Linked DNA regions of Callithrix jacchus. The protein of the gene in region 2 purifies or fractionates together with the protein of the main gene of each other region. This does not show direct contact. Links are inferred from orthologs where the notes say so. Each region holds a gene or a part of one and is shown on either strand. Other genes may lie near its edges.

Evidence for each region. Proteins that work in one complex are often made in the same cells at the same time.
Region 1: the proteins of CDH8 (region 2) and CTNNB1 purify together in Homo sapiens (co-immunoprecipitation; 3 studies listed by BioGRID and IntAct, counting the BioPlex papers as one, with this or other methods). This does not show direct contact. The link is inferred for Callithrix jacchus from reciprocal best matches to the Homo sapiens genes CDH8 and CTNNB1.

The regions. Positions count from the first base shown.
Region 1 is NC_133518.1:78,994,181-78,997,925, forward strand, and holds the start of CTNNB1 (catenin beta-1), read left to right. Parts: upstream 1-1,488; 5' UTR 1,489-1,519; coding exon of another isoform or gene 1,520-2,156; exon of another isoform or gene 2,157-2,376; intron 2,377-3,745. Other genes in the region: uncharacterized protein LOC144579968, read right to left, coding at 586-1,457, 1,520-2,156. UniProt on the Homo sapiens protein: Key downstream component of the canonical Wnt signaling pathway.
Region 2 is NC_133521.1:19,763,123-19,766,867, forward strand, and holds the start of CDH8 (cadherin-8), read right to left. Parts: upstream 2,415-3,745; 5' UTR 2,057-2,414; intron 1-2,056. UniProt on the Homo sapiens protein: Cadherins are calcium-dependent cell adhesion proteins. They preferentially interact with themselves in a homophilic manner in connecting cells; cadherins may thus contribute to the sorting of heterogeneous cell types.

The sequences.
Region 1 (3,745 bases), on a different chromosome or scaffold from region 2:
CATGTGCTATGGTGACAGACGGCAGTTGGCATTACCATTTATATAGTAAAATATCTTTAAGACAAAAATAAAAGTTATTTCAAGAATATGCTGTCCCTGAAACATGAGCTATGCCTTAAACTACATATCCTACCTCCATGAGTGAATACGTAAGTGGGTTTCCTGCCAGCATGTATGTGTAAAGACCTATTGTTTGCATGTATTAATTGCGGTCCTGGGATAAAAGCACAGACGTAACTTTCACTGCTGCTTTTTGTACTCTCTCCAATGTTTTGGAGGAAAAATAAGCACAAACAATAGAATAGAGAAAGTGAAGCGATCGTAATTGTTGCAGCTTTGACAAACGCCAATTTTGCTGCATTACAATGGGAAACATTTTTCAGCCTATCAAAATTAATTAAAAAACGTTTTTAAAGTCAGTTAAAAATATTAGAGGCTGTCTAATCGATCGCTTTTTCTATAAACATACTTTGGTTTCTCAAGTAATACCGTAAAAACCTTCTTCTCCAAAGAAAAAATCCCCACAAATAAATCTATTGATACCTAGTGACAAGTGGAACCAGATAAAAATGGAATCTATAATAATTAAGCTAATGGACAGTGCTCCGGAGCGAATCCATTTCCACTAGTTACTTGCTCACAGTAGGTACTCAGAAGGACTTGTTGAACTGCGGGCTTGGCGCCCATTCTCCGGGAGTTCACAGCCCTCGCGAGCGGGATCGAGGGCGGCTTGGCCCGGTGATTCAGGTCGAAACTCAAGCTGAGCCGCCCGCTGCGGGGGGGGACCCACCATCCGGACAGTGGGGGGCCTCTGGGTGCCGCGAGACTGGGCTGCCAGCCAGGTCCAGCAGGGAGTGCGCGGCACAGACCGCAAGGTCGTAAGGCCCCGACACCCGCGCCGGGCCGGGAGTCCGCAGACTGGCGACGGGGCAGCGGCGGCGGCGGCGGCGCCCAGGAGCGCCCCGAACTTCCGCCCTCCGAGGACCCGTCCCGCCCGCCCCGCGCGGCCCCCGAGGGCCGGGGCCGAGGAGCCACCTTCCGCAGGCCGCGGGAAAGGCGCGCCGAGTCCTGCAGCTGCTCTCCCGGCTCGGGAAACGCGCGGGGCGGGGGCGTCGGGCTTGGGACGGGGGAGGAGACGGGGCCACCTTCCCTCACCCAGGCCTGCAGGGGCCCGGCCTCCCCGACGCAGACCACGGCGCCCTCCGGGGCCGCCCTCCGGTCCCGCGCAGCAGGCAGCCGCCAGCCTGCGCCCGGGGAGCGTCCGTGGGGAGCGTCCGCGGCGAGCGCGGCCCCCGCCCCGACCCGGAGCGCTCTCACGGCGGCGCACTGCCGGGCCGCGCACGGCTGGCGGCGCGGGACTACTTTCCCCCGCCCTCTCGCGCCCCGCCCCGTGTCCTCGCGCGGCGGAACGCTCCGCGCGGTGCCGGCGGCGGCAGGATACAGCGGCTTCCGCGCGACTTATAAGAGCTCCTTGTGCGGCGCCATTTTAAGTCTCTCGGTCTGTGGCAGCCGCGGTAGCCCGGCCCCGGGAGCGGAGAGCGAGGGGAGGCGGAGACGGAGGAAGGTCCGACGAGCAGCCTCAGTGCCCGCCGAGCCGCCACCGCAGGTCGAGGACGGTTGGACTCCCGCGGCGGGAGGAGCCTGTTCCCCTGAGGTGCTTGGGCGCTCCTTTCCTTATCCTTCCGGGGCTGCTCCCGCTTCCTCTCGGAGCCAAACTTCGTCGCAGGCGCGCGGTCCGGGCGGCGGGCTGGGAGCCGGGCCGGGCACAGCCCGGAGGCCTGGGGTGGGGAGCGGGGGTTCGGGTGGGGGACGGCGGGGGCGGGACGCGCCCGGGGCGCGGAGGGCGGTGGCCGGGCCCGGGTTCCGGTCGCGCTGCCCCTCAGGGGCCCCGGGGGCATCGCTTGCAGGGAGGGGGTGCCGCGGGGTCGCGTCCAGGAGCCCGGATGGCCGGCGGGTGGGAGTGGGGGTGGGGGTCTGTGGTTTCTGTGCGGGGCTCCGGCCTTGGCCGAGTTTGGGGGAGGGACCCTGTGCCTCGGGATGCGCTGGGGCCCGGGGTGGGGTGGGGGGCGGGGTGGGGACCGGGGGCTCCGCCTTTTCAGCTCCTGCGGCGAGTTGGGGTTCGGGGGCTCAGGCCGGAGCGCCACCCTAAGTCCCATCTGTCCTGGGGATCCGCCGAGTGGACTTTCTCTTAAGATTTCGGAAGAATAGAAGTGTTAATTTTATTATTATTAATTTTTGGTAATGCCCTGCCTGTGTGAGTTTGAATCGAAGCAACTTTAAACCTTAGAGTAAACTCTGAGTGCGGTCGGTGCGATGCGTCAGTAGGGTGTGCACGTAGAAAATCCGTGTCTTGCACTATTTTAGCGTACCGTGCAGGTGAGTGAAAGCGGTGGATAAAGTAGGGGAGTCTTCTGGGTTTATGGTAGTGGGCATGAGACCCTAGTGAAACAAGGGGGTGGAGGAAGGGCGAAGGTGATGGCTCACTGTTTGTTACCACGTAAACTGCAGGATTCGGCCTCTGACTCGGACCGCTTCGAGGATTTTGTTCGTTTGAAATAATTTAAATTTATTCAAATAGTTTGATGGCAGCTAAACTTGATTTTTAGAGCACGTTTTCTTTTCAGCGGAGTGAATGAAATTTTCCTTCTTTGCAAAACGGCCAAATGCAATTCAAGCAGTTGAAACTTCTCTGTTTTGTCTGGAGAGAGGACTTTGAACCGAGACTTTTCGAAGTTGAGTTCCTATAGCCCGCTTCTGAATCTGCCAAGCTGGAAAGCTTTGGCACTGGGTGTAGTTGTTCCCTTCGTTCTGTTCCCTTGTGGAGGGACATTGTCTCATACTTTGTATCTTGCAGACATCTGTGGTCTCCCCCGTCCCCGGCCCCCCACCCCTCGAGTTTGTGAGTGGTGAATGAAGAAAGACCAGGCTGCTGGTATGCAGAGGTCGGCAAAAGGAAATCGAGGAGTGGTTTTAGTGCAATGAGAGCTTTGTATCGTGAATAATGGTGGCTTAGGCTTGAAGGGACGGCAGCATTTCCTTTGGTAATGTCTACGCTAATGTTTTTCAGATCGCTAAGTTGTAAAGTAGTTTGTCTGGAATTTAGGAAGCCATTTCAGTGTTTGTCACTTGGTGAACGAACATTCAGTACCTTCAGATGTCTTCGTGTCGATCGATTTGTATTCATCCTGAGAAATAGTAAATATAGCCTGAAGTGTTATTTATATTACTATCCGCTTAAATTGTTGACATAAATTTCTACTTTGGAGTCGTTTCGTTTGAACTAAGGCTGCTGCGACATTTATTTTACTTTTATATTTAAATCTTTGAAAAATCTCTGATTAAAAAAAAGTACCTTTAAGGGTTTGAGGATGTCCTTTCACACCAGACAAAATTTAGTTAATTTGCGCCCAATATTCATTAATTTGACCTAACCTTTGTTCTGAAGGCCATGTACAAGGACAAGGCCCTGAGATTATTGCAACAATAACTTGAAAAACTTTCAGAAGTCTTTTCTGTAGGATTAAAGGAATGCTGAAACTATTCAAGTCTGAAGTCCTGGGGGTGGGGAGAAGTAAAAACCTGTGCTAGAGAGCTTAGTATAGCATGTAACTTTAGAGTCCTCAGGAGTCGTGAGTCTCCCACAGACCAGAGCAACCATTTAAAAGTTTTCAGGAGAAAACAACTTAAAAAAAAAATAAGGCGGCTAATAAAAAATGAAGCATTTAACAGTGTTCAGGTTTCAGAG
Region 2 (3,745 bases):
AAAAAAAAAAAAAAACATGTCTGGACTTGATTACGGAGAACTCCCTTTAAATCGAGGGTGGGGGGCGGGGGGGATGTAACCCTAAGAGAACATCCTTCAAAGGTATCACTTCTCTCGGTAAAAGAACCCCAGTCCTAGTCCCCACCTCATACTTCTCTCTCAAATACACACACACACACACACACACACACACACACACGAAGAAATCCCTGCAACGCTGGACACAGCTGCTGCGAAGCAATATCTAGGCAGGGATTTTAGTGGTATTTAGCATGAACGACAGGGCTCACTTTGCATGCAGTGAGCTGCAGCAGCGAGGCTGAATGGATGGAAAATCCCACTTTCTAATCTTACATAAACATCATTCCCACATATAGTTTTCCAGTTGAAAAGCGCCTATAATGAAGCCGGAGGTGACAGCCCAGGGAGGGTTTTTAACCATTGAGATGGCTGTCAGGAGTGCCGTAAAGACGACAGGAGCTTCAAAAGGGCCCCAGCCAACCCCCATCCCTCCTATCTGCTTCGCGATAGTGCCGGATGCGAGAGGACAGTACCCTCGCATACCTTCCCTAGCGTCTCCCCGTTCCCATTGTCAGCCCACAAATACCGTGACTTAGGGTGAAAGAAAGAAGCTGATCTGATTAGCAGCTCGGGCGCGCTAAGGGATTGCCGGATCATGCCTCCTAAGGAGGAAACTCTTGTGGAATCTTCAGGAAAGGGTGGTAAAGTTGAAAGGACCTTTTCTCCCTCCCGCTGTCTTGGTGATAAGCTCTATCGTTTAATTGGAGCTGAAGTGAGCAGCTACCAGCCTGATTTTTCATTACGGACTAATGTGCGTTTGCAACAATAAACAATTAATGTTGTTTGATTTTTTTACATTCAGCAACCCAAGCAAACAGCTGCCATCTCCGCTCGTGGAGACAAACGGCTAGTCCTTGACGTGCCGCCGGCTTAGTGCCTGCAGCGGAAGGGTCAACCGCAAGGAAACTTTGAGGATTCCGCCAGATTGGGTTGGGGGAGGCTCTCGTGTCGGGGAGGAAGAAGCGGAGGAAATTGTGGATACCTGTTGGCATCAGCGTTGGCGGCGACAGGTTTTTACTGTTTTCTAGCCTTGGCTGGAGCCTGGGAGAACGGGAGTAGGTCCCTTATGAACCTGTTACGTACTGGCAGAACCCAGGCAAGAGCTTTTTTTCCTCCGGTCCTGCGAGGGGCGTGACGAGCCCCCCAGGGGTTCTCGGAGGAGAAGCCGTCAGATCACAGAAAGCTCAGCTCTAGGTTCAGCGGTCCCTAGCATAGGGGCTACGGAGTCCTCGACTCAGGGGGGCCTCCGTGCGTGCAATCTCTCGAGCTTGGGGAAGACAGTGCATGGGGGTCCTGCAGGGGTTCTGGGCAGCGTCTTGGCGAGGGCAGAGCCTCGGGGCGGCTCCGGAGCCCGGCAAGTTTGCAGCGGGCACCGCGCCTCGCAGAGCTGAAGCTGCCACTTGTGGGAAAGCCTCGCGCTGGGGCTTTCGCAGCTGAGTCTTAGCCCGCAGCCCTTCTGCGGGGGTCGCCCTCCCTTGCCTGGGAGAAGAGGCGGTGCAGAAACCCAGCGATAGGACACTCGGGCTCCCTCGCCTCCTTTTTTTCTCTGGCTTGCACCCTCCGCACAGCGGGCGGCGGGTGCTTCCCATTCACCGCACGGACCCCGCAGTGAAGGCGCGCCGCTACAGCCGCGCCTGCCCGCGTTGGGAGGAGGCGAAATAGCCGGGTACCCGCAGGGAAGGAAACTGGCAGGAAAACTGGAGGGGCACAGCCTAGAGCTTGCTACTCTCCAGGATCTGTTGTCAGAGCAGTTTGCAAAAACAGTCAGGCAAAACCCTGAGGCGTACGCATCACCCACGGATATCGCGAAAGGCACAGTTTAGCCCCGAGCCTGTGGTAGGAACCCGCATCCAACATCTGAGAGGCAGGAGGCGCGCAAGGAGTCCGAAGGGGCATGGAAATTCCTAAAAGAAACGATCCGTTCTGGATCGTCGGGACAGAGAGAAAAACCGGGGTGGGTTGACGGAACACTTACTCTTGCCGGGCCCTGCGGTGGCGATGTCAAGCCTCCTGGTTCACAAATGGCTGGAGGGGCTCGGGGTCAGCTCTCGAGGGCAGCAAGTGCCGACCGGTCCCTGCGCGCTGGGCAGGCGCCTCCGGATTCCGTTCATGCCTCTCGGAGCTGCAGGGCTTGGTGCTGAGACGCGGGGCGGGCGCGCTGGTCTCTGGGTGTCTGCAGCCCAAAGTGCAGCTGGTGGCTTGATGCTACCATCTACGCACAAACCGGCGGCGGCGGCGGAGCTTGGAGAAAGCAGGGAGATTCCAAATAAATCCACTAATTCTGGGCTGAGCGCTCCGGCGTGCGAGCCCGCCTGCCTGCCAAATGTAACTGTGAAGTGATGTGGAAAAGTGAGCCGGGTGCCTCCCCTGACGGATCTCATTGGGCAGAGCGCAGAGGCAGGTCTACCACTTGGAAATTCATGCAAGCAATCCCCCTCCCCGCCCCCTCCCCGCCTTCCCCCTTCACTCTCCTGCGCTGGCTCGCTCGTTCTCTTTCCCCCTACCCAAGTGGGCGCACAACTTTTCGCTCCTCGCTCCCGATCACGCCCCGCGCGTCTCCGCCGCCAGAGCCACGGGGTGAAGATGCGCCCTTCCGTGCTGTGCGCGCAGCCGGCAGAGGGCCGAGCTCCGGCATAAGGGGGCTGGCAGACCATAACAGCCTGCGGAGGAGGTACCCGCGAGCTTTCTCTCTAAAGGTCTCACCTGAGCCCTGGGACTGGCGTTATCTTGAAAAGCGTCTCAGTGACCCGCAGCTATTTTCCGTAGGAGAAAGTGGACGCGACAGGGCAAAGGGTTGCACGTGGGCAGCTTACCTCCTCTTTATTCCAGGGGCCTCTTGCATGCAGAATAGGATGATTGTGAGACCCCTGCCTGCAACTCAGACGCTACGGTTTAAAGGCTGTATGTCGCGGTCCTGTGACGGAGCGCATAGCTGTCCCCGTGCTTCTTTGGGAAAAGGGGATAAGGGACAGCAGAGGGGCAGCCAGGAGGGGCGTGAAGCAATTGGTTGTGGGGAGGGGGGAGGCAAAGCAGAACTTGCTTGGGAAATAAGGGGAGGAATTACTAGGTTTTCTCAATGTGCCCCGTTCTCCTCATATCCTCTCAGGTACCATCCTTGCAGCTCTCCTGCCTCCAGCAAGAGCTGCCCTGTCTGTGGCCACTTCAAGTCTTCTGAGGGGCTGTGCTCAGATCTTGAGAAATGGCCACCCTGAGGTAAAGCCAGTGCAAGAAGAAGGGATCATGAATCAGAAGGTCCAGATTTCTCTTTTTTCAACACTGGGGTTAACATGTAGACAATGCCACTGCGATCATCTTTTAATAAAATTAGCTAAATATAAGACAAATTAATTCTTACCTGTTTGTTTGTTTTTAACCCTCCCCTCCAGGGGAGATCCCGCTTTAGTCCCTTCCCTGTGTGCACTAGACGTAAGCCCTGAGGGTGGATTTTACCATCTGGGAACAGAGCTGGAACAGAAGGGGGAAAGGGTGCAGGGGACCAGTCGCACGGTCTGTAGAGCTTGTACTGTCTGACTCAAATTAATGAAAGTGAACAGAATGAGAAAATAGGCACAATATGCTTATGATATTTATGCAAATTTGACATTTTTTTTGTGTGTGTGCTGCATCTAACATTCCATTGTGAAATGTTAAAAAGAATATTGAC